Macaca mulatta: one gene and its partners. The protein of the gene in region 1 interacts with the protein of each later gene in a biochemical or structural test. Links are inferred from orthologs where the notes say so. Each region holds a gene or a part of one and is shown in the gene's direction. Other genes may lie near its edges.

Region 1 (4,048 bases):
CCTGTTTAAGGAATGTTAGCCGGTAGTCTTTGCTAGGCCTGAGGGGTGAAATTTTTGTTTATCAAGACTCAACTGTTTTCGAAGTCTTCAGGCTTGAAGTTCTGGGGAAAATAACTAGGCTCTCTGGGCGAGATCCCCAATACCAGTTTAAGGGATTTGAAATGCAAGGCCGTCTGGGACTCCACTGCCACAGGCTGGGCACCAGGCGGCGCCGGTCGGATCCGTCCCGGGACTAGCAGGGCTTTGGGCCAGTCCGGGCAGCTGGTGCTGGAGGTTCCAGAGGTCCACGCCATTGGTGGACGCAGTCTCTAGTGTCCTCTCCGCATCCCGCTTCACCGCCCCACCCCTTTCCTGCGCGAGCCTGGACTTGGAAGGCACCGGGGAGGGTGTGAGCGCCTTGGTGTGTGCCCATCTGGGTCCCCAGAAGAGCGGCGGGAACTGCGGCCGCATGGACGGTGCGGCCAGACTCCAGAGTGGAAGGGGAGGCAGCTGTTCTCCCAGGCGGCCGTGGGGGGCAGCAGAGGGGACGGCGACAGGTGCGGGAGCCCCTCCCGGGGTAGAAGTGGAAAGGCGGGCTCCGGGGTCTGTTCTCAGGCTGGAAACCACCCCCGCCCCCCATCCAAATCCCGGGAGAGGCCCGGCCGGCGCCGGGTCTGGAGGAGGAAGCGGCCGGAGACAGTGCAATTTCACGCGGCCTCTTTGGCTCGGGTTCCTGGGCTGGGTGGATGAGTTATGGGGTTTCGAGTCTGGGAGAAACTGAGGTGGCCTGGACGTGAGGCAAAAAACACCCTCCCCCTCAAAAACACACAGAGAGAAATATTCACATTCTGAGAGAAAATCCACCAAGTGAACCAACCGGCTAGGGGAGTTGAGTGATTTGGTTAATGGGCGAGGCCAAATTTCAGGAGGCTGGGCTTTGGAGCGCTTACCACTCCCTCATTCATTACCCTTCCCTGGATCTGGGGGCTTTTGGAATCTTGACCTCCCCTTGGCTCAGCTCCTGCAGAAAAATTAGGGTGAGCCCCATCTTCGATCTGCTCCGCCAAGTTGCGGGACCGCGGGGCGTGGCGCGCTCGGGGCGGGCAGTCGGAGGCTCCGCAATCCCTACTCCAGCCTCGCGCGGGAGGGGGCGCGGCCGTGACTCACCCCCTTCCCTCTGCGTTCCTCCCTCCCTCTCTCTCACACACACACACACCCCTCCCCTGCCATCCTGCCCCGGACTCCGGCTCCGGCTCCGGCTCCGATTGCAGTTTGCAACCTCCGCTGCGCCGCAGCAGCCACCAATTCGCCTGCGGTTCAGGTGGCTCTTGCCTGGATGTCCTAGTCTAGGGGCCCCCGGGCCGGACTCGGCTGGGCTCCCTTCACCCTCCGCGGAGTCATGAGGGCGAACGGCGCTCTGCAGGTGCTGGGCTTGCTTTTCAACCTGGCCCGGGGCTCCGAGGTGGGCAACTCTCAGGCAGGTAAGTGGCGCGAGAGCACTGGCGGGCTCGGCACCTGGGAGCCGGAACCCAGTGCGCGAAGCCTCTGAGGGCATGGGCAGGGTCTCAGGCGGCGCGGGGGTGTGGGTGCTGCCCCCGTACGCCGGACCACCTGGGAGTGGGGCGATCAGGCTCGGGTTATCGGCGTGGTCCGGCCGAGGGCGGCATTCTTGGACCCTCACGCCCCCTTCCCCAGAGCGTCGTCGACCCTCTAATTGGTCTCCCCAAAAGAGGCTGAGGCCGCAACAGTAGTTCACACTTCTGAGGGACCCTGCAGGGAGCGGGGCAGGGACCTTAATTCTATAAACAGGAGGTGCTTGGAGGTGGGGGCCTTGGCGGAAGGGTCTCGGTTTGCTCGCCAGCTTCCTGCCCGCCACCCCGCACCGATTTCTGCTACTCTTAGTTTCGTTGTTTTGCCGACAGGGCGGAGCTACGGAAGGTTGGAGGGGGTTGTTGTTCTCTAGTGTTGGAAAAACAGGAGCGGCACCTCCTCTTCCGTGAGTGAGCCTGCCCTGGGGAGGTCTGAGATTAACCAGAGGGCCAAGTTCAGGTGACATCAGGCGGGAGGCCCAACAGAGGCTGGCGCCCGCTTTCCTCAGAATAGCAGAGCTTGAGCAACATCTCTTTGTCAAGATCCAGGTCAACCCAACTCATATTTATTGAGCATCTACTATATACAAGGCGCTGGGCCAGGAACTGTAGGGGCAAGGATTGTCCAGCCTCTTGTCTTTTCTCTCCCCAACCGGAGGATCAAGAGGGCACCTCTACTACTTTCTAAGCCTCCTGCCTTGGGGAGTCCTACCTGGGCCCATCTTGTGCCCCCTGCCCCCATTTTGCTTATTGTCTGAGGACCCTAGACAGAGCCCTGGATTGCTCTTCTCCAGTCCTCCCCCGACTCCCATGCTATCTGAACCCACCCCTTTGGGGTGTCTCTGGGGCCGTGGACACCTGAGGTTTGAAGTTCTGTGGATTTCCTCCCCTCCCCCCAGATTTCAGCTTGGGATTTGGCACAGCCAGGGCCCCTTCCCCAGTGTGGGAGTGGAAGAAACCACCTGTGCTTCCCCCACAGTTGCTGGGCCTAAATTTAGATCCTGGGATTTTTAGATGTGAACACTCCCAGCTGGTGGAGGGGGGTGGTCTGGGGACTGGCGTGGGAGGGAGCAGTGGGGTGACTGTATAACTGTCCCATCCAGACTCCTGCAATCTTCACCCAGAAACCCAGGAGTACCAGAGTCTGGCCACCCTCCCTGGGTAGGCAGGAGGCAGGCATGGTTGGGTCTCTTTACCCTTTATCTGGGTCCTGCAGCCTCTGGGCATCCGGCCCTGTCTCAGTCCTTCTATAGCCCCTTTGTCCTGGCTGTGATGGGGGTGGGGGATGTTGGAGGGGAGGCTTCTGGTTGAGGAGGGGCTGGAGATTCTGGCTCTATCCCACCCCTAGTGCTCTCTACCAAAGGAGCGCCTGTGCCACTGCCCCTCCTTATGCTCCCGGTCCCTGGGTACAGGAGGGATTTTTATGATTCCCTTCCCCTGCCCTGCTCCCCAAGCTGCCTAGCTCCTCCCCAGACGTGTTGTTTGTGCTCCCTTCCTGCCCAGGCCCTTTGCCCCCTGTTTGTGTAATACGGACTTTACCCTCAGGGGAGCAGGGAACTGGGCTACCTCTAACACTGTAGCCTTCCAAGCACAGACACAAAGTCTGCACAAACACATATGGGCACGTGGGATAGATGGGGCCACCTGAAATACTTCCTGCAAGGAAACCCGACCACAGGTTCCTGGGCCAGCAGGACCAATGTGTATGTGTTCATGTGTATGTTGTGTGTGTGTGTGTGCCCACACTACTACTTCCCTGTGCAGAAAACTTGGCTCCTCCCTTATCTGGGGAGAAGGATTGGCACTATAACTTGGGAAAGGGGGTGTCCTGCCAGGAAGGGGACTGGGGTGGGGCTGTTCCAGAAATGACTAACCTTCCTAGTCTCTTTCATTTCAACCCAAGGACCCTGGAGTTACCAGCTCCTCTGGAACTAGCTCTCTTTGCTGGGACTAGCCAACCTTCATGGGGAGTGATAAGGAGCCCTCCAAGGTCAAGAATTCAGACTAGGGGTATATAAGAGGGATTGGGGCCTCACCAGTCTCCCTCCCTCCATTCCCACTGTTGCCTCCCACTGACTACCACTGCCTCAGGGAAGGGTGGCTGGAACAGGTGGTATCTACCCCCTATTCCCCACCCCACACGTGGTCTTTCGCTGAACCAGAAGAAAGAGACTGGGGTAGGGCTTCAGAGTCCAGGATTTTCCATAGCCCATTGTCCACCACATTTGCAAAGAGTGAACTCCCAAGGCTGACATGCCATGTGCCTCTAGTCTAGGCTTTCCCCTAGTGCGGGTGAGGATTGCCATGGTGAAAGGCTTTTTCATGAACCTCTTCTAACAATGAAATTGGGTGGAGGCTCAGTGTGGGGCATCTCCTACTATTTCTCTCCAGGTGTCCCTGTATTTGCTAAAAAATACTCTAGGGCTGGAAAGTGATGCTGAGGTTGCTAGAGTGTGTTGGGATAGGGAGACAGAGTGAGA
Region 2 (3,500 bases), on another chromosome or scaffold:
AGTCCTTGCTTTGTAGCTTTGGGCAAGTCCCTGCACCTCTCTGTCCCTCAGTTTCCCCAACTCTCTAAAGAAAGTGCTGGCCGGGGGTGGTGGCTCACGCCTGTAATCCCAGCACTTTTGGAGGCCGAGGCAGGCAGATCACTTGAGGTCAGGAGTTCGAGACCAGCCTGGCCAACATGGTGAAACCTCGTCTCTACTAAAAATACAAAAAATAGCTGGGCTTGATGGCGCTCGCCTGTAATCCCAGCTACTTGAGAGGCTGAGGCAGGAGAATCGCTTGAACCCAGGAGGTGAAGGTTGCAGTGAGCCGAGATCACGCTGTTGCACTCCAGCCTGGGCGATAAAGCAAGACTCCATCTCAAATAAATAAATAAATAAAGTGCTGGGCTACTCTGGCCTGGGTGCTGTGTGCCCCTGCGCTGATCCCTTGACACTTCTGAGCCACAGTTTCTTCATCTGGGGGCCCTGCCTTCCTCCCTTGCAGGGTGGCCTTGAGGGTCAGTGGGAGAGACAAGTGTGGACACCCCGGGTGGGTATACAACAAGGAGGTAGGTGGGGATTTGGGACATCCAAAGGCTTCTTTCCTTGAGGTGGATCTTGCCCCCTTACTCCAGGGTCCTCCCTCCAGTAACCCCACATAGCTTACTTCCCTGCCTGAGTGTGTGTCCAGCCATCACAGAGCCGAGACAGGCCACACAGCCCCAGTCACACGCCCTCGCCTCACTCCATCAGGAGGGGACACCACACCCTCTGGCTCACTTCTGGCAGAACCCCAGGGTCTCAGGTGCTCACCTGTCCTCTGACAGGTCCCTGGAGAGCTCGCCAAGCTCTGCTCCCTCCTGGCCTCAACTTCTCCATCTTCTATATGGGCTGAAGAATATGGCCAGGGGCAGCTCAGAAGAACTGGGAGCCAGGGATCCAGGTTCAAGTTCAGATTGTGTGACTGTAGGCAAGGGCCTTTCTCTCTCTGGGCCCTGGTGGTGGGTGGGGGCCACCCTGCCTGCAGCGTGTCTTCTCAGGGTCGTGGTGAAGTGCAAAAGTGGCCTTGGATTGAGAAGAGCCCAGCAAGCTGTCAAGCCCTGTTGCACCCTGTAGGGAGCACTCCTTCTGTCTGGGAGTCAGGAGCCCCGGCCTGGCTGTGTGACCTTGAGCAAAGAGGCCTTTGCTTCTCTGGCCTCAGTCTTCCCAGCTGTACAGTGGGAATGAGAGGGGGCTGGACCCTAGTTCCCAGGTCTCCCTGCCCATTGACCTCTCCTCACTCCCTGTGGACCCTGTCCCTGTCCCCTTGGTTGCTTTGGATGTGAGGCCTCTGTGGCTGCCCCCTCGTCCCCTGTCCCCAGCACCGCCTGGCTCTCCCGCTCTCTCCCCTGCTCTTTCTGCCACTCTCCGCCTCTCACCACCCCCATCTCTGCCTCTTCTCTCCTGTTGGGCTCTCGCTCTCTCCTCCCTCCTCTGTGTCTCTGGACCCCCGCTCCAGCCAGACCTGGTTCACATTCAGATGGCTGCAAAGGTACTTCCGCCCCTCCCCGCTCCCACCCAGGCCCAGGGGACCCAACCACGCCGGGAGCTCCTCCTGCCCCTTCCCCATCACCCGCCCCCCCCCCTTTTCCTCACTTTCGCATAGAAGTGCCCTGGGCATCGGGGCTCTGCCACCTCACCCCCTCTGACAGGGCTCACTGTGTGACTTTGGGCAAGTCCCAGCCCCCTCTGGCCTCAGTTTCCCCCTGCAGATGGGTAGGCTGGAGGAGGGGGCCTGTAGTTTTCAACTGAGGAGCCCTTTAGGTGTGACCCGTGATTTGGGACAGAGGCAAGCCTTGCTCTCGTTTGCAGGGTTGGGGCCTGGATGGTCACTGGGTCCCAGAAGGGCCCTGCTTGCCTCCACCCAGGTCTCACCAGCTCCCAGGAGCAGGCTTCCGAATCTCAGAGCATGGGGACACTTTCAAGTCTCACTTGACTTTCTCTCAGGCAGGAGTCTCTTCTATTACAACCTTGCTTGCCCGCAGAGACAGGGGGCTCCCTCCCTCCCTCCCAAGGCAGCTCTCCTCATCTTGAGATGTCTTGGTACATCTGAAAGGAAGCGACTTTCTTCCTGTCCCGGGACTCCTCCCCTGTGGATTTGAGCCTCAGATGACTAAGGCCAGTCCTGCCCTGGTCCTAGACAAAGTCCATCTGATCCAGCTTCGGCAGAAAGGCGTCTGGGCCAGGGAGGGGAGGAGTTCCAGGCCAGCTGGACCTGGCATGCTGCGGGGACTCATGCTGGCCCCACCACCTCCCTGGGCCTCCCTCAGCCACTAGAGCCCTGAGCACAGCACCTAGGAGGATGGTGGGTGCTGGGCTTGTGGCTGACGGCTCCTTTCTCCTTTTCTCCCTCCTTCTGTCCCTGCTCAGAGAGGGAGACTGGTGGCTGGCCCACTCGCTCAGCACGGGACAGACAGGCTACATTCCCAGCAACTACGTGGCGCCCTCCGACTCCATCCAGGCCGAGGAGTGAGTACTGTCTCTGGCTGCCTCTACCCGTCGTCCCTGGACACTGCCGGTGCAGAGCACCTCTCCTGGGCTGGGGTGGGAGGTCTGGCTGCCCAGCGCCCCAGCCATATCCAGGGAGAAGTGCTATGAGTGGGCAGAAGCCCGGACAGTCAGCAACATCCTCCGTCCTCCCACTCCCAGGTGGTATTTTGGCAAGATCACCAGACGGGAGTCAGAGCGGTTACTGCTCAATGCGGAGAACCCGAGAGGGACCTTCCTCGTGCGAGAAAGTGAGACCACAAAAGGTACGAGCACTCTCGTTGGCCAATGGATACTGAGTCTTCTGTGAGTGGTTTGAGCTGAGTGTTGAGGAATGAGCAGGAGTTTGGTTTGTGGAGTAGGGAGGGAAGAGCCTTCCAGGTGGAGGTAACGGCAGGATCAAAGTCAGGGAGGTGCATTTGAGGAACGCTGAGTAACCTGCGGTGGCCAGATGTCCAGAGAAAGATGAGGCTTAGCCTCTCTGGCCTCAGTTTTCTCAAATGAAAGATGGGCATAGGTTGTCTGGAGGTTTTTCTGAGTGTCACACAGTAACAGGCTTGTTCCCAGGGTAGGTGCTGCTACAAAGAGCCCTGCTTCTTCCCCTTCCCCAGGGGTCCCTGGGCTGCACTGGATTCTGGAGGCTGGCTTTGCCCTCCCCCAACCGCAGTCCTGATCCCTGCCCCTCTCATGTCCCTCCCCTGAGCCAGAGAATGAAGACCATCCCCTTTCTCTCCAGCCCCTCTGAGAGTGGGTTGCAGGCGCCCATCACCATGGCAACCAAGCTGGGCTGCTTCCTGTGGGCCTGGGGCTCAGCGGGAGATGGGGAGCAGAGCATCCATGTCGAGCCGTGCATTTACGTACAGTTGTGCGGCCGTGTGCGGGTGTGCATGCTGTGTGTACGTCTGGGCGTGTGTGTGTGTGTGCATGTGGGGTGGAATTGTCTGTGTGTCGCTGTGTGGGAATGGACTGTTGTGGTTTGTCTGGTGCCCGAGGGC
Region 3 (3,500 bases), on another chromosome or scaffold:
CAAAGCTGGGTAAATGATAGATATTAATACTGATTTTTGGAACAATGTTTTAGTTTGCCATGCTGCAGGAAAAATCAGGGCAGTAACACGCCATCATCTGTGCATATATTGTGCTAGAAATGTAGGTAAGTGAGATTTGTTTTAAAGAGTGTAATGAAATCGAACCCTGGCCCCACAGAATTATGAAAGACAGATATCATGTGTATTTCTAGTTTTAGAGAGATTTTTAGGTTAAATCATTGCCTAGTGTATTATCTTATATGACTCAGACTAAAATTTTGCTAAATTGTTAATTTAGATAATTCTACAATCTACTTTCCCTTATTAATATGTGAATTGTTGGCAATACATTATTTAAAATGTACTGACATCACAACAGTGATGTCACCCTGTTGACATCACTGTCTTCAGGCTTTACTGGGTATATGATCAGGAGATCAGCAGATGTTAAATAATTGTCCTTATTAATCTAAGTAAAACACTGTAAAATAGGCCAGTCATTTGCTTATGAAACATCAGATCCCCAATTCAAATAGCTTCCATACCTCCAGTGCTATTATTCCTCTCTGTTAGCATGGATAATCAAGTGTTAACTACATATCAGTACCCATAAAAATGATGCTTCTCTGTTTTGTTTTGTTTTGAGGCAGAGTCTCACTCTGTCGCTCAGGCTGGAGTGGTGGAATGGCACGATCTCGGCTCACTGTAACCTCTGCCTCCCAGGTTCAAGGGATTCTCGTGCCTCAGCCTCCCAAGTAGCTGGGATTACAGGTGTGCGCCACCACGCCCGGCTAATTTTCATATTTTTAGTAAAGCTGGGGTTTCACCATGTTGCCCAGGCTGGTCTTGAACTCCTGAATTCAGGTGATCCACTGGTCTCAGCCTCCCAAAAAGCTGGGATTACAGGTGTGAGCCACTGTGCCCGGCTATGCTTCTGTTGATAAATGGTTTTACAAGCCACAAGAACAGCCAAAAAGATGTGTGGTTTGAAATCTTTCCACACTTGGGGAGTGTACAGTTTCTCTTCTGGTTGATGACCCTAGCTTCGCTAGATCCTGTTTGACCCAGTTCTAATCTGAAAGGCAAGAGACTGGGTCCTGGGATTCAGAGCCAGTTCTGCCTCTGGTTGTCTGTGTGACTTTGGGCAAGCTGATTAATTTCTTTACATTCACATTTTCTTATCTGTCAAATGGGAATAACTGAATAAGCCAATAACTGCCATTTTGTGAGGAAATAGTGAAGGCAAGAGATAGGAATGTGCTTTGCAAATGAAAAAGTGCACTGAGGAGAGTATAAGGAGGCAATTTGTGCCTATGGCCTGCATTTGCAATTTGGAGATTCTATCTTGGAACCAAAGAACTGTTTGGATTTCTGCAAGAATGGCCATGTTATTTTGGATGAGTTCTCAATCAAGCTTTAGGAAGGTGGAGGGTAGGTGAGAGAGTGGGGTGGAGCTGGGTGAGAGAGTGTTCTACATCTACTGTGAACATATGGGGGAACACTAATATAGAGCTAAAGAGAATTTTTGTCATGTTTTCAATGAAAAATTACCCCAACATAAGGAAATGACTGAGAGTTACTATGGATAGTGTAGTATGCTATCTTCAGCATACCGCTGTCTAGCTGACAGAAGTCTTCATGCCAGCCTTCATGTTTTCTCATTAAATTCTAAAAAAACAAACAGCTCCCACCTCAAAAATCTTCCAGATGGAATAGCTGAAAAACAACTTAAAAAAAAATACTAGTCATTGTTCAATTGCTCATAGCAATACTACTTTATTTTATGTAAAATGACAGTTTTGAGCTGATGCCTGAAGCTTGGCTCATAAGCTTTTGCAGGAAATTGTTGTTGATTTCAGGCAGTGTCTTTGCAAGACAACTGATGTCAGGAAAGGAATACATTTTAATAGTTACCTGCAAATAACTGTCTCTTTAAAAATACACAAATAAATAAAGGTGACCTTATATAGTCTTTCATTTTCATGTCATAGAGAAAACCTTGTTACAGTGACATGCTGATGAAGAGAATAATTTTGGGAGTATAGGGAAGTTTCCCAAGGAGGAAAAATTTTAATGTGAAGAATGACGCAGGAAATATTATGAGATGAAAGAGTATGAGGACTGAACTAGCCGTGCACTGTGTGTATCATAACAGCCAATTTTTAATTTCCTGTGTAGCATTTTATATTGTGGGATGATGGCAGGGAGGATGGGTTGTTGGTTTTTCTTTTGTTGTTGTTCCTCAGGCTTTTTATTAATGACCTGTAGGATCTGTTTTTTTTTTTTTTTTTCCTGTTTAACTGCATCCCCTCTGTTGGTGAATTCATTGTGGGTAATGGCCTGTATACCCTTAGAGGTTTGAGATGTCTGATGGGGAGCAGGCAGGAAGGGCAGGGCGATGAGCAAGAGCTTCTACAAACTAATACCACCCTTGGGAGAACTGAAATGACAGCTCATTAGCTCCTCTTGCAGGGAAATTCAGCCAACCAAAGTAAACTCTTCTGGAATGTTGTTTTTCCTTCTTTCTTACGTTTTCAAATATTTCAACAAGTTACACAACTGTTACCTCTCTTAGCATCCCTAGCACATTTTGTAGGTCTTTTTGTATCATTTTGAGATAGGTAAATAATTTTCTTGGCCTTTTATTTTCCAGACAGCACCTGGGGTACATAAAAGATATTTCCGGAAAATAAAAAATCTCATTTCAGCATTTCAGAAGCCAGATCAAGGCATTGTAATACCTCTGCAGTATCCAGTTGAGAAGAAGTCCTCAGCTAGAAGTACACAAGGTACTACAGGTATGATTTACTCTTAATTTTTGACAGGGTTTGGAAGCTCAGATTTATGAGTCAACCTATTCATAACCATATAATCAATTAGAAGTTATGTAAGAAAAATGCAATGAGAAAGTAGATGTAGCCAGCAAGTCAAATGAGAGGTGACAATTTATGTGCTATAATTTTAATCTATTACTCTATAAACTTTTAATAAATCACTGTAAAATCATCAAAAATTCTATAAGCCCATAACGTTTTAACTGCTCTTGTCTGTCTCATCTTGTTCTTTCCTGTCCCTTTTATAGGTAGCTAAGTATCATTTCACTTCACTAATTCAGACACAAATAATGTGAAAGATGGTATAATTCAGAGAACACCTGAGCTGTGCTTTACCTTTGCTTAGTAAACTTTTTTTCCTACAGGGACATGAAAGCTAATGTTAGCCTGGCACACACGATTCTGGTTTCTGAATCGGTGGTGCTTGAATTAATGACATTTTTCTGAAGCAAAGGAAATTAAATAGTAGACTTTATTGTTCCACTGGCACAAATTATTACATATCCTGAGCAAACCTATTTTAGTGTATGTGTCATGCTAAAGACTGAATACCAGCCAATGTCTGTAGCTATCTGATACGTGACTGTTTACTCCTCTATTGAATGGGGTTTATCATTTGTTTGGAGTAAGAGGATCGGCCTTGATTGAAACAATAAATATTTATGA
Region 4 (3,500 bases), on another chromosome or scaffold:
AGCAACCGGAAGAACTAGGAGGGCGGGGTATGGCCCAGGTAATTGAACTCTTGGCCAGCTGCCAGCAGCCTCAGACCATTTTGCAGCCCCTCCTTCTCAAGGCAGTGGCTTAGCTTCGGGAGGAGAGAGGGCGGTGGCCCAGACCAACAAGGCTGCCTCTGGCCCGGTGAGCTGGCAGTTATTCACACTCTCCATGGCTTCCCTGCTGGATCCCGTGACCAGAGGTGGGGAAGAAGGGGAATTAAACCCATGACCACAGACTCGTGGCCCAGAATATACTGTGCGATCGTCATTTGGGTGATTGCCATGAATAATGTTTTTTCATTTAATACTGTAAAAATTGAAAAATAGAGTAAGTCCGCAGAATTGAGGCATAGAATTTCCCTTGGGTTTTTATTGTAAACCTGACCTGGCCAATCATTAACCAAGGACAACATGACAGGAAATGTGTGGACAGGGGCTGGGGGGAAGGGCATCATGTCTTAAGTTTTTTTTTGTTTTTTGTTTTTTTTGAGACAGAGTCTTACTCTATCGCCCAGGCTGGAGTGCAATAACACGATCTCAGCTCACTGTAACCTCTGCCTCCTGGGTTCAAGCGATTCTCCTGCCTCAGCCTCTCCAGTAGCTGGGATTACAGGTGTCCACCACCACGCCCTGCTAATTTTTATATTTTTAGTAGAGACAGGGTTTCACCATGTTGGCCAGGCTGGTCTCGAACTCCTGACCTCAAGTGATCCACCCACCTCGGCCTCTCAAAGTGCTGGGATTATAGGCGTAAACCACTGCGCCCAGGCTTTTTTTTTTTTTTTTTTTAATGTATCAGATTTCTTGGCACAATCAAATAATTATTATTCTGACTTTTTTTTAAGTTTAAAATTGATTGTAGAAAATATACATAGCAAAAAGAAGGAAATTAAACTCATCCATAATTCTCCTCATAATTCTCCTGGGGATAACCATGATGAATACTTTTGTGTACAGACATCACCCCAGGCTTTTTGAAATCAAGTATGAGATCGTACTGCATATACTTTTTTGGTAGCCCATTCTACTCACTCACTGTGTCCTGGGAATTTTCACCCACTGTAGAATATTCTTCTGCACCAGACTATGTTGTATGTCTGTCCACGGTATGCATGCACCACAATTTATTGGACACGTAGAGTGTTTCTAATACTTTGACCAACATCCTTTATGATTGCTATGTTCATACCTACAATTATTTTCACAGGCTCAATTCTAAGAAATGAAATTTCTATGTGAAAACATTTTTAAGGCAAAGATGCAATTTTAAAGTAACCATGGTAGCCTACTCTTTTGAGCTAGCAGAAGTATGCTGTTGATCAAATATTGGAATGTCCCAGAAAAATTGTCAGAATTATAAAACTGATGACTATCACCACTGTCCGTCTCCTTATCATGGTCATCAAATTTGTTTATTACTAGCCATGAGTATTAATTTTCAGTGATAAATCGTTCCAAACTGGATAACTGAACACTATAACCATAACCATAATAACAAGTTATTGCTAACATTTTAGCCCCTTAAATCTTTATAGCCATTCCGTAGGTAATATCATCATTTGTGTTTTTCAGATGATGTAAGTGAGCCACAAAGAGATTATGTAATTTGTCCAGAGTCATACAGCTGAGCCAGGATGCAAACCCAGGTGGTCAGGCTACAGGAACAGCCAGGCTGTACCACATTATAAATTCTTCAGTTGCTATAAGCAGCAGCATCATGCTAGTTAACTATTTTTGAGCATCCACCGTGTTCCAGCGCTTGCATATGTTATGTATACAAATACATAACCCTCATAGTAACTGTAAGATGGACCCCAGCCTGACTTTGTTCCAGGCCTCCTAGCCAGTAATTGGTGTGTCCAGAATCCATACCCTAGTCCTGCATGCAGAGTCCTCCTCCCCATTGGCCAGGCCTGGAGAGGGGCATCTTAGGAGAGGGCCCCGAGGACGACTTCTGGACACCAACAAATACCTTCTTTCTCCTCACTCCACTTGTTGGGGAGGGAAAATCAGGCCTGCCAGGCACACGTTTTCTCATTTCTTATTTCCTGTTGCATTACGTCATTCAGGTCCGTATAAACATCATGTTCTTGTGACACCTCCCCAACCACCCTGTTTTACTGGACAGCCCTCATCCCCTCCCCAGCACTCCCTGCCTCCTTTCCTGGTTCACTTTTTCCCTGAGCTTACAACTGGCGTGCATAGCTGTTGGTTATTTATCCTCACTCAAACAGAAGCTCCCACCAAAACCAGGAGCTCCATGAGCTGGGCTCTTCGGTGCCGCTGTCACCACCGCATCCCCTGAGCCTGCAGTGGTTCTTGGCACGAGTAGGTGGTCAATGAACACAAGGTGAATGAATGATTGGATCTCCTATGAATTTGGTATTTGAAAAACTAAAGAACTGGCCCAAGAAGAGACATAGTAGCATTGTCTTCTGTTGGCCCAGAGAAGTGGGTAGCCATAAGCTTTTAGAAGGAATGTGAATTTGCCTTTCCTACCCCTCACTCACCTTTTTGTCCCAAAGGTGTCGGAAAACCTTGTGCAGCGAGATGGCGACTTCCTAGTTCGTGACTCTCTGTCCAGCCCTGGGAACTTTGTCCTGACCTGTCAGTGGAAGAACCTCGCTCAGCACTTCAAAATCAACCGGACGGTTCTGCGGCTCAGCGAGGCCTACAGCCGCGTGCAGTACCAGTTCGAGATGGAGAGCTTCGACTCCATCCCTGGCCTGGTGCGCTGCTACGTGGGCAACCGCCGGCCCATCTCCCAGCAGAGTGGCGCCATCATCTTCCAGCCCATCAACAGGACGGTGCCCCTGCGGTGCCTGGAGGAGCGTTATGGCATCTCCCCAGGCCAGGCCCGGGAGGGCAGCCTCACCGAGGGAAGGCCAGACGTGACCAAGAGGCTGAGCCTCACCATGGGTGGCGTCCAGGCCCGAGAGCAGAATTTGCCCAGGGGAAACCTCCTCAGGTAGGTCAGGGTCTCCTCCTCAGGACTATGAGGGGCGCCGGGGGTGCCCAAGGTTAGTTAGGCAGATGAAGAATTCATCATGGAACAGAGAAATAAAAGATGTTAATAGGAATGCTGACTGTTCGCGGAATAGCAGTCATGAGGCAGTGCACGATCAGCTCCTAGCCGAGCAGGGCCAGCAATGAATGGTACAGGAGCTGAGGAAGGATTGTGGGGGCACTTACAGGGGAGACCTTGTGAAGGGGGTAGGCTTAGGCTGGTCTGATGACTGGGGGAAATTTGGATAGATGCTGTAAAAGGCAGGGGGTGTTCCAGGTGGGAGGCACAGCATGGGCATAAGTGTGGGGACAGAAAATGCCACGAAGAGCTTGCAGTGAGTGTGCTGATGGGGCTGGAACAAAGGGTCTGTGCAAGGGACCTGTAGCAGTCGGCTTAGGGAGGTAGCCCCAGCCATATCATGGGGGCCTTAATGCCAGGTGCAGGGCTTTGAGGGAGCTGCACAGATTCA
Region 5 (4,233 bases), on another chromosome or scaffold:
TCATGCTGAATTCTGAGCTTCTTAGGGGATGCACTTGAGGATATCAACGAAACACACAAGTTTCCACTACAGCAAGACAAAGTCAGAAGCAGCAGCCCCAGGTCACTATCCAGCTGAGTAGGTTGCCTGAGCACACACTCTTACATACTTACAAACTCTAGTCCTACTATCCCACAAATCCCAGGAAGCCTGGCTCTTTCTCTGGCATCAGCTGGAAGCTCTGTTGGGCTTCTCACCTCTGAAATGCAGTAAGTTGTCCTGCTGTGTCTGGCAGCCGACCCACTGCCTGGCTCAACATATCAGACTCCACTGCGACCGTTGGTGTCCTCAATTTTGGCGGTGCTGACAGCGGCAGATAGATTGCAGGGGTGAGTTTCAAGAATGGCTTCAGAAAGACGAAGAGTATGAATTATTCCATAACCAGAAAAAGGCCTTGTGGCTGGAGAATGGAGAGCGAAGGATCACTTGTGAGAGATGAAACTGGTGAGATGGGCAGGTCATATAGAACCTGCTAGGCCAAGCAGCGAGTGTGGATTTTAGGTGCAATAGGAATTCATGGAGGGTTCTAGGCTGGATGTAGGGGATCATTATTTAATTTCATTGTAAAGACTTAAAGCATGGAGAATAGATCCAGGCAAAACAAAAGTGAATAGTCTGGGTGACAGGAGATGGGGCCTTCAGCTTGTGGGTTCAGTGAACAGATCTTGATGGATTGGAGGTGAGGCAGAGGGAGCAAAGTTATCTGCAAGGTTTTTGGCCTTCCAACTTAGAGGAGTTTAGCGCCACGTTCTGAGAAAGTGAAGACTGGAAAGAACCGTTTGGGGAGGGAAGGTGAGCTGTCTAAGGTGGGGGGATGTGGCACATGCAGTGGGATGCTGGGGCCTGGAACGTAGGGGAGATGCAGGTTTCGAGTCATCGGTGCCTGTGTGGCGGGTAAAGCCAGGGGAAAGGTCAGGTCGCCTTGGGATCTGGCCTAGCACTGAGTGCAGAGGAAGAGAAGCTTCTGAGATCGAGAAGCAGCGGCCACAGGAGGAGGAGGAAAGTAAGGCGGGGAAAATCAAAGTTCAGGAGAGCATTTGCAGGAGGGGCGCCCGGGATCAGACTCCAGTCCCGCCGCGTGGAGACGGAGCGTACAGAGGCCCATGCGAAGGACAGACACAAAGGCCCTGGGAGCTGCAGGTCAGGCCGCTGGGCAGCGCGGCCGCGGACTTAACGCCCCTGCAAGGGGCTGGGGGGAACTCTCCGAACGAAAGGACCACTGAAGGCCACCCTGGCAGCAGAGGCGGAACAGACAGACGTGGGTCTGGCCGTCCCAAGAGCGGCCAGGGGCCAGCCCCGCGCTGCCGGGGGGCGGGACATGTCGGCTGTCCATCAGTGCCTGCGGCCAATCCGCAGGCGGCCCCGCCCCCGCCCCTCTCAGGAGAGGGCGCGCGGAGAACCCGCTGCCACCGCCGGTGTGAGGCGGCCCGGCCTGGCTCCCTTCGCCGGGAAGCCCGCCCAGGTAACTGGGTTTGGCCAGGCATGCCCGGAGGACGCGCCACCTCCTCGCGTCCCGTCCTGGTCGCTGCATGGGCGGTGTTCGGGACGCGGGGGCTGCGTCTGTGCGGGACCGCGGGCTGGCAGACGCCCGTGCGAGTACGCCTGACTGGCGCGCCGGCTGCGGGGCCTGCGGCCTGTGGGCGGGGCTGCCGTGCGTGACAGGGCCGCTCGTGGCCGCCGGGCTGTGTCCGGGGCTGCGTGAGAAAGCTCTGCGGGACTGAGGGCTGGGTGGGTCGACCGGGAACGGCGCGCGCTCCCGCCGCCATCGAGCCTCCGTCCCCGCCTGCGGCCTGTCTGGGGGTCGTGGGGCGCAGGCGCAGCGGGCCGGCGGGCGGGGGTCCTCCCCACGGGTGCGCGGGCGCCTTTGTTCCCGGCGCGCGAGCGGGGCGGGGCCTCAGGGCCGCCCCGCCCCGCCCTGCCGCGCTCAGGCCCCGCCCCGTGTCCGCCTGCAGGAGCAGCCGCCGGGTCCCGCTCGTCGGCCGCCTCAGCCTCAGCCCCAACCTCAGCCGGCGTCGTTGCGCCTGCTCCCGGGCCGTCCCGGCCTGTGCCGTCGCCGCCCCCAGCGTCGGAGCCATGGCGGGCGCCGCATCCCCCTGCGCCAACGGCTGCGGGCCCGGCGCGCCCTCGGACGCCGAGGTGCTGCACCTCTGCCGCAGCCTCGAGGTGGGCACCGTCATGACTTTGTTCTACTCCAAGAAGTCGCAGCGACCCGAGCGGAAGACCTTCCAGGTCAAGCTGGAGACGCGCCAGATCACGTGGAGCCGGGGCGCCGACAAGATAGAGGGGGCCAGTAAGTGCGCCCCCTTCCTGCTTGGGCCCGCCGCGCGCTAGGGTCGTGGGAGCCCGGCCCAACTGCCTGCGCCCCGGCCGGCCGCCCCAGCGACTTGGGCAAACTTTCGGGCCTTCCCCCACCCCCTCGGGGCCCCGCCCCCGCTTCGTCTCGGGTGGTCACTGGGGGCGGGGGGCATCCGGGTCCTCGGTCACCTGACAGGACACCCCCTCCCCCAGCTGGGGGGAGTTACTGTTCCTGGAGCTTTGCCCTGAGGCCTAAAAATCCTCGCGGGCTGGAGATCTGCGGTGCGGGCATCGGGCCCCCCCAGACCCTGGGAGTGGTGGTGGCATCGTTGAGGGGAGCTAAGGCAGCGGCCCCAACCCAGCACGGGAACCTGGGGCCTGACCAGACGGTCCCCGCCCACCACTCTTTTTCCAGAAAGAGCAGTCTGTGAAACTCTCCGGGCCCCCAGGCTGGGCTCTTGGTTGCAAAGGAACCTTTGGGTTCCCTAAGTAGAACTTAGGCAGATGTTGGGTAGGGCTGGTCTTGGAGCAGAGCCGGGCCTACTCATCTCCCTCTGGGGGAGAGGGAGGAAGGTGGTCTTGTTTGGTTTGGAGAAGCCTGAGAGAAGGCAGTGGCTGTTTTTTTTGTTTTTGTTTTGTTTTGTTTTGTTTTTAATGCTACTTTTGTCCCAAAGCTGAGTTTTGGAAGCCTATGTGGGTGGGCAGACACTCAGTGCCAGAACAGGGACTCCCCTTGCCCTGGGAAGCACGTTCCCAGAAGATGGGCCCCATAAAGGCCTGCCCCAGCGCCTTGGAGTCAGGTACTCTTCTCAGGAGTGCAGCTAGTTTGGAGTCTAGCCCTTTGTCCTCTGTCCGGTGGCTTCAGGGAGCGGGAGCGGCTTCTCTTGGTTTCCTGCCTTTTCGCCTTCCCAGGCCTGAGCTTGGCTGCTTTTGTGCTGGTCTGTAGTGGGAGGAGGGAGTTGGGGGATTTTGAAAAACCCCAGATCTTTGAGAGTTGTTCCACTTAGCGCGTGCCTGTGCTGTGGTCGGATGGGCACTCTGCTTTGCCACTCCATTCCCCCGCCTCTCAGTGTGAAGAGATGGTGTGTCTGCAACTCCAGACTAGGTTGCTTCTTGCAGGGACCCCCGGAGACTGGGGTTAGAGAGACCCGGGCTCAGAACCAGGTCTGTGTGAAGGAGGGGGATCAGGAAGTGACACCCCAAAGGGGGGGTCCCACAAACCTTCTTGGGTATGGTGTGCATGTGTGTAGATGGTTGAGGAGATTGGGAGGAAGGAAGGTCTTGTGGTGAGGCAGCCAGCCATCCTCAGCTACAAACTCCAGATCTGACACAGATCTAACGCAGCTGCTCAACTTAGAAATGGCAGCCGCCTTCCTCAGTGCCCCCACTGACCCTGTCAGCCACTGGGAGAATATTTTAGTGACTTGAGAGCCTGTGGATTCCAAAGTAGAGGAAGGATGGGCACTGCAAAGAGCTGAGATAATCCTGGGAACGTCACTCAGGCATCAGACTCCAGGCATGGTCCCCTTCCTTGCTCCCTATGCTGTGTTGAGTTGGTGGCACTGGCTGAAAGTTCTCAAGAGATCTCCTGGGTAACAGACTGCATTTTAAACCATGCATATTAGCAGGCAATAAATGTAGCACAGTGGTTGATGGCAAGTCTGGATTTGAAGCCCATATATTTGTTGTATGTTTCCCAGCCAGTTACTTACCTTCTCTGAGTCTTGATTTCCTCATCTGTAAAATGGGGGTAGTAATATATCCACTATATATGGTTGCTCCAGGATCAAATGAGACAATTCATGTAAAAATATCTAGCATTGTCTGACACATAAATGTTTAATAAATGTGAGCTGTTATTAGTAATAACATTAACAATAGACCATGGCTGCCCTTCAA
Region 6 (2,686 bases), on another chromosome or scaffold:
AGTTACTGATCGGCCATTTCTCGTCAGGGTTCGTCAGAGGTGCACAGGCCTCCAGTGGATCCCCAGCACTGCCTCGAAAGCAAAGAGACAAGTCACCCAGCAGCCTCTTGGAAGATGCCAAAGAGACATGCTTCACCAGGGATAGGAAGGGGGGCTTCTTCAGCTCCTTCATGAAAAAGAGAAATGCTCCCACACCCCCCAAACGCAGCAGCTCCTTCCGAGAAATGGAGAATCAGCCCCATAAGAAATACGAACTCACGGGTAACTTCTCATCTGTTGCTTCTCTACAGCATGCTGATGGGTTCTCTTTCACTCCTGCCCAGCAAGAGGCGAATCTGGTGCCACCCAAGTGCTATGGGGGGAGCTTTGCACAGAGGAACCTCTGTAATGACGACGGTGGTGGGGGTGGGGGCAGTGGCACTGCTGGGGGTGGGTGGTCTGGCATCACAGGCTTCTTTACACCACGCTTAATCAAAAAGACACTGGGCTTACGAGCAGGTAAACCCACAGCCAGTGATGACACTTCCAAGCCTTTTCCAAGGTCAAACTCTACATCTTCCATGTCCTCAGGGCTTCCAGAGCAGGATAGGATGGCAATGACCCTTCCCAGGAACTGCCAGAGGTCCAAACTCCAGCTGGAAAGGACAGTGTCCACCTCTTCTCAGCCAGAAGAGAATGTGGACAGGGCCAATGACATGCTTCCAAAAAAATCAGAGGAAGGTGCTGCTCCAAGCAGGGAGAGACCAAAAGCCAAGTTATTGCCCAGAGGAGCCACAGCTCTTCCTCTCAGAACGCCCTCTGGGGATCTAGCCATTACAGAGAAGGACCCTCCAGGGGTGGGAGTGGCTGGAGTGGCAGCTGCCCCCAAGGGCAAAGAGAAGAATGGTGGGGCACGACTTGGGATGGCTGGAGTTCTAGAGGATGGAGAGCAGCCAGGCTGGCCTTCTCCAGCCAAGGCTGCCCCCGTCCTCCCAACCACTCACAACCACAAAGTGCCAGTCCTTATCTCACCCACTCTGAAACACACTCCAGCTGACGTGCAGCTCATTGGCACAGACTCTCAGGGGAATAAATTCAAGCTCTTATCTGAGCATCAGGTCACATCCTCTGGAGACAAGGACCGACCCCGACGGGTAAAACCAAAGTGTGCCCCACCCCCACCACCAGTGATGAGACTACTGCAGCATCCGTCCATCTGCTCAGACCCTACAGAAGAGCCGACTGCCCCGACTGCAGGACAGTCCACGTCAGAAACACAGGAAGGAGGAAAGAAGGCAGCTCTGGGTGCAGTGCCCGTCGGTGGGAAAGCTGGGAGGCCAGTGATGCCTCCACCTCAAGTGCCTCTGCCCACATCGTCCATCTCGCCAGCCAAAATGGCCAACGGCACAGCAGGTACTAAAGTGGCTCTGAGAAAAACCAAACAGGCCGCTGAGAAAATCTCAGCAGACAAAATCAGCAAAGAGGCCCTGCTGGAATGTGCTGACCTACTGTCCAGTGCAATCACGGAACCTGTGCCCAACAGCCAGCTGGTAGACACTGGACACCAGCTGCTCGACTACTGCTCAGGCTATGTGGACTGCATCCCTCAGACTCGCAACAAATTTGCCTTCCGAGAGGCTGTGAGCAAACTGGAGCTAAGCCTGCAGGAGCTACAGGTGTCCTCAGCAGCTGCTGGTGTGCCCGGGGCAAACCCTGTCCTTAATAACTTACTGTCATGTGTACAGGAAATCAGTGATGTGGTGCAGAGGTAGCCACTGTTAGCCTGGTGGGAAAATGCACACATTTCTGAGGGGAGAGGGAAAGGGACTTGTTTTCCTGTGTTCTTGTTTTCAGAAAATGAAAGACTCATACTTGAGTGTGTTTATGTGAAGTACCTCAGATCCCTGAGTTCTCACGTTTACAGTTTCATCTCAAAAATAAGAAGCAAACCACATAAGTATAGGAGAGGTAAATTAAGTGGGGGCGAGGCAGTCGTGGACAGGGTTGGAAACTGCACTGGAAAATAGGGAACATGTGTATGTCATAAGGAAGGCAATGCAGCCCATCCCTACCTGGGATGCTGGGAGGTGCTAGGCAGGGCTGCTCTCAGCAAGACCGCAGCAGCTGCACCCAGACCTGGGGCTCTGGTAGGTACCAATGGTGATTATGCTCCAATTTACCTAATGAATTTGGTGGGACAGAAGAAAGGAAAGCTGGGAATATACCCAGATAAATTTTTGTTCAGGACTGTTGGAAGCAGATGTTAGCCTTGCTTGCTTCCACAAGGCCATTGCTGCTGTAATAAGAACTGCAAATCAGAGCACTACAACACAAAACTGGGAAATGTGGCCCTACCTGAATGCCTCTGTCCTGTTTTCCGCTGGTGTATTAGTGCAGGAAGTAAAGAATGCTGGAAAGTTGAAGCAGGGGATTGAAAACCTTCTGAAATCTTACACAGATTAGCAGAAGTCACTTCTCCCAGTCTGGTATATTATTTCATAATGGACCAGGATCGGCTTCCTGCTTGTTGGTGGCTATCTGTAAACCATAAGTACAGGGGTCTCCCTAGTGGTTCTTCTCTGTCTTTTGCTGGGCAGGCTGTCTTCCTTTATTCCTGGTAGCATTCAGAGCATTAACCAGTGTTGATTTTGAAAATAGTAGTCCCTGCAGATTCTCACAAGGGAATGAATCCTGTTGGGATACAGTT
Region 7 (3,500 bases), on another chromosome or scaffold:
CCCTGTCTGTCTCTAATTTGCTCTTCCCCAGTTGACCTGACACATAAGAAAAAAATATGGGGAAAAACAGGTTAAAGAATCTATTGTTTATATTATTTTTCACCAAGTATTTTTCCTTGATCACATTCATAGTGTGGGATCACCTGATTGAGCCAAACCGTGAAAAATTCAAATAGCAATGTGGATGAGAGTTGTAGTGCATCTGGTCGATGCTGATGTGAATACAGGATTTTAATCCCACGTCTGTATTCTATGGGCCTTGGCTTGAATCAGTTTGTTTTAGTGCTGTTACATTACCCTTTGGCCTTTACTGAGCTACCTCTTTATTTCCATGAAATGATCATTTTACTGGAAAATGTGTGTCTGCCTACACAGCATAGAAAGAATGCACCCGTCATCATGCACCATATGTTTCCAAGCGCAGCTCAATCTATTCTTCTGTAATTAACAACCAAAAGACAACTTGTCCCAGGAATCCCTGAGAGTAATCATGATGCCTTTTTCCCATTTAGCCCTTGTCCATGTCCCCGTTTTTGAAGTTTGCAGAAGCAGTTTCCCAGCTTCTTTCTAAAGATAGGATGTTAAGATATCAGTAGAAAAGAACGACCACAGGCTTGCCCATCTCCAAAGAAGAAAACAGTAGAGTAAGGAAAAGAGGACAGTCATACAGGGCGTTCATCTCTTGGCAATAATACCTACACTCCTACTTCTTCACCAACTCCTCACAGCCCAAGGAGCTGTGCTCTGCGTCCTGGGTCCCAGGGAGAAGGACCAGTGGGGTGACAGCTCTGCTTCTTAAACATGTATCCTAAAACCTGATCAAGATACCAAGATCAGGAAGGGAGGCTACAGCAGCAGCATCAACCAGATACCCCATAGAAATTAATTCCCTGTCCTGTGTTTATGGGAGAGGGAAGGCAGCAGACACACGCAATTAACATATAAGCACTCACATTCCTTGTCCTCATCTGACTTTTGCTGCACATACAAAAAAATCTGTGACACCAATGCAATATTTCCCAGTACATTGTTTCACCGCAATGCACCAGCCGCTTCGCTTTCTAATTGTGGCTTCCACATGACTGCTAGCTTAGATTAGGAGTTATGCTGTATGGAATGACCCTTCCAACTTTGCATCTACCTTTTCTTCCCACCCAAGCATTTCCTCCCTCTGGTTTTCTTTTCTTTATTTATTTTTCCTCCCTTAGTATCAGGCATGCTGTGCCAGGGACTTCAGATGGCTCCTTAACTTTTAACCTTGTTTTCCCTTCCTTGGTCTCTCTGTCATTCTGTCAGTCTGTCTGTCCTCTTGGTTTGTTTTTCCTTTCCACCTCCTTTTGATTTGTTTTTGTATAATCTATGCAGCATTCTAGTCCTTTACCCACTGACTTCTCTTCTCCTTCTCCTCCTGTTAATAATCAGTGCTATATTAATTTGATTTGACAATGTTCTTGACCTGTTCACTGGAATTTGATTATCATGGGCTCGGCTTGTAGGAAATGTTTCGTTTCATGATAAGGTCCACTGTATCCTAGAAATTAAAATTCACTTTTTCATTTCAAGAAAACTTCTTGCAAGCTGCCCTCTCTCAAAAGAGAAAAAGGTGTAGTTAAAGGTGTAGTTGTGCCACTGCAGATGTAATATGGAAATAGGCTTTGCGGGTCCCTTGTTGATGTCCAGATAAGTCAGCTCTGTTTATACAGTATTCCCCAGTTCTTGACCAACTTATTGATTATAATGGCAAGTGAACAGCTTACACTGCTGTCGAGTTCTCTTTCTGAGTGAACTTGTGAAGATCTTCCAATAGATGTAATTAGACTCACTGGAAGCTCAGGTCCTAAGGGATCAGGGTCCCTATTAAATCAGCAAATCTTGTTAAGAACCTGACCTACCTTAGTCTAATCAACTTATCCCCCAAAGAAACTAATTCGAAAATAGAAAAACTTCTATGAATTAGAGACTGATTGCATTTTGGGTACAGTAGTATCTTTAGTTCAAAGTTCTAAGCATCACACTTCCTTAGCATAACCTACATTAGCTCATTTGCCAAGTTGGCCAATGTATGAATGTGAACTCTATTCCAAATCACACATCATTTGTACTGGTGACCTCTTTGGACAAATAAACTTGTTCCTAAGTCCAATTGGTGGAGTAATTAGAATTGTCTTCCAAAGGACAAGTCTCCACTTGGGCCCATAACTGTCCTACCCATCACATGGGATTTTCTTTGATACAGTGCCCTGATACGTCATATTGTATTGCTTCTTGTGTTCACATTTTACTGTTAAATCACAGAGAGCCTGACTCAATTTACTAGGTAACTACAAGCCAAGTTCATGTTTGCAAATGTCTTTGAATTTAATATATTTAAGTTAGAAATAACTCTTTGTAAAGACCACTGGATATAAAGTGATGATACAAAATAGCTGGGAAATACAAAAAGGCCAGGAGCTGGAGGATAAAGAAGGGAGGAAGGAGGAAGGGGAGACTCCAGTAATTGCCAATCCCAGCTCCTTTAATTGATGTTGATTCCTGTTGTCTTTGCAAGAGCTTTTTATATTTTATTTTGCAAGACTTCACAAAAAAAAACTACAGTTTTAACCAAATAGTTATTTTATAATTAATGTTTATGATTTCCAATTTACTATCAAATATATATATATTTATAGCTTATCATTAGAAGTAATTTTTGAGTATAATATTTGTATTGTAAATGGCCCCAGCTGGCTTTGTTATTTATGTTCAAAGCATAGTGCAGAGCATGTTGTACATTAGCTATGTGTGTAAACATAAAGAATTGTCATGTATTTATTTTCTTGTGAACATGGACAATGTCATGCAGCATGCCCACTGTTTGGTTGTAGTCAGTCTTGGCAAGTGGAAGTGACCTGTGATGATATCTGCTCTCATCCCTTTCCAGAGGCGGAGGAGCTGTACCAGAAGAGAGTGCTGACTATAACTGGCATCTGCATCGCCCTCCTTGTGGTTGGCATCATGTGTGTGGTGGCCTACTGCAAAACCAAGTAAACCTTCCTCCTCCATGCCTTTCTCTCTCCCTCATGCAGAGACAGCTTAGATGGCCAGGGCTTTGCAGAATCTGAGCTCCACAGCCTAGTCTTGGGGATAAAAAAAAAAAGGAGGGGCGGGGGGGATTATTTCCTCCGAATAATCCATTCAGAGCATGTCTCCTAAACACAGAATATTCTATTCATGTGAAAGTGCTGTAAAGATTTCTGTCCAATGACCACAGCCCCTGAATGGATAAAGGGCTGGAGGGACAGGCTTGTATGGAAGTTATGTGTATGGGTGGGACAGAGTGAAGGCACCTCATTCTAAAACGAGAAGGAAGGTAGCAAAAGTCCATTTGAGGGCTTTAGTATAGTCAAGTTATCCCCAAAAGAAACTAATATGCACCTAGAAAAACTTCTATGGGTTAGAGACTGACTGCATTCAGGGTGCAGTAGTACCTTTAGTTCAAAGGACTACTGAGAACAAGTCCA

Evidence for each region.
Region 2: the proteins of ERBB3 (region 1) and SRC form a complex in vitro, tested with the Homo sapiens proteins (2 studies listed by BioGRID and IntAct, with this or other methods). The link is inferred for Macaca mulatta from reciprocal best matches to the Homo sapiens genes ERBB3 and SRC.
Region 3: the proteins of ERBB3 (region 1) and SH2D1A form a complex in vitro, tested with the Homo sapiens proteins (2 studies listed by BioGRID and IntAct, with this or other methods). The link is inferred for Macaca mulatta from reciprocal best matches to the Homo sapiens genes ERBB3 and SH2D1A.
Region 4: the proteins of ERBB3 (region 1) and BCAR3 form a complex in vitro, tested with the Homo sapiens proteins (2 studies listed by BioGRID and IntAct, with this or other methods). The link is inferred for Macaca mulatta from reciprocal best matches to the Homo sapiens genes ERBB3 and BCAR3.
Region 5: the proteins of ERBB3 (region 1) and PLCG1 form a complex in vitro, tested with the Homo sapiens proteins (2 studies listed by BioGRID and IntAct, with this or other methods). The link is inferred for Macaca mulatta from reciprocal best matches to the Homo sapiens genes ERBB3 and PLCG1.
Region 6: the proteins of ERBB3 (region 1) and ABL2 form a complex in vitro, tested with the Homo sapiens proteins (2 studies listed by BioGRID and IntAct, with this or other methods). The link is inferred for Macaca mulatta from reciprocal best matches to the Homo sapiens genes ERBB3 and ABL2.
Region 7: the proteins of ERBB3 (region 1) and NRG1 form a complex in vitro, tested with the Homo sapiens proteins (8 studies listed by BioGRID and IntAct, with this or other methods). The link is inferred for Macaca mulatta from reciprocal best matches to the Homo sapiens genes ERBB3 and NRG1.

The regions. Positions count from the first base shown.
Region 1 is NC_133416.1:63,230,624-63,234,671, forward strand, and holds the start of ERBB3 (receptor tyrosine-protein kinase erbB-3), read left to right. Parts: upstream 1-1,248; 5' UTR 1,249-1,378; coding exon 1,379-1,460; intron 1,461-4,048. UniProt on the Homo sapiens protein: Tyrosine-protein kinase that plays an essential role as cell surface receptor for neuregulins.
Region 2 is NC_133415.1:90,249,329-90,252,828, forward strand, and holds part of SRC (proto-oncogene tyrosine-protein kinase Src), read left to right. Parts: intron 1-2,388; coding exon 2,389-2,487; intron 2,488-2,667; coding exon 2,668-2,771; intron 2,772-3,500. UniProt on the Homo sapiens protein: Non-receptor protein tyrosine kinase which is activated following engagement of many different classes of cellular receptors including immune response receptors, integrins and other adhesion receptors, receptor protein tyrosine kinases, G protein-coupled receptors as well as cytokine receptors.
Region 3 is NC_133426.1:130,812,685-130,816,184, forward strand, and holds part of SH2D1A (SH2 domain-containing protein 1A), read left to right. Parts: intron 1-2,653; coding exon 2,654-2,798; intron 2,799-3,500.
Region 4 is NC_133406.1:146,683,880-146,687,379, forward strand, and holds part of BCAR3 (breast cancer anti-estrogen resistance protein 3), read left to right. Parts: intron 1-2,549; coding exon 2,550-2,992; intron 2,993-3,500. UniProt on the Homo sapiens protein: Acts as an adapter protein downstream of several growth factor receptors to promote cell proliferation, migration, and redistribution of actin fibers.
Region 5 is NC_133415.1:93,999,907-94,004,139, forward strand, and holds the start of PLCG1 (1-phosphatidylinositol 4,5-bisphosphate phosphodiesterase gamma-1), read left to right. Parts: upstream 1-1,433; 5' UTR 1,434-1,501; intron 1,502-1,991; 5' UTR 1,992-2,112; coding exon 2,113-2,329; intron 2,330-4,233. UniProt on the Homo sapiens protein: Mediates the production of the second messenger molecules diacylglycerol (DAG) and inositol 1,4,5-trisphosphate (IP3). Plays an important role in the regulation of intracellular signaling cascades.
Region 6 is NC_133406.1:36,515,432-36,518,117, reverse strand, and holds the end of ABL2 (tyrosine-protein kinase ABL2), read left to right. Parts: intron 1-27; coding exon 28-1,751; 3' UTR 1,752-2,186; downstream 2,187-2,686. UniProt on the Homo sapiens protein: Non-receptor tyrosine-protein kinase that plays an ABL1-overlapping role in key processes linked to cell growth and survival such as cytoskeleton remodeling in response to extracellular stimuli, cell motility and adhesion and receptor endocytosis.
Region 7 is NC_133413.1:34,576,718-34,580,217, forward strand, and holds part of NRG1 (pro-neuregulin-1, membrane-bound isoform), read left to right. Parts: intron 1-2,920; coding exon 2,921-3,023; intron 3,024-3,500. UniProt on the Homo sapiens protein: Direct ligand for ERBB3 and ERBB4 tyrosine kinase receptors. Concomitantly recruits ERBB1 and ERBB2 coreceptors, resulting in ligand-stimulated tyrosine phosphorylation and activation of the ERBB receptors.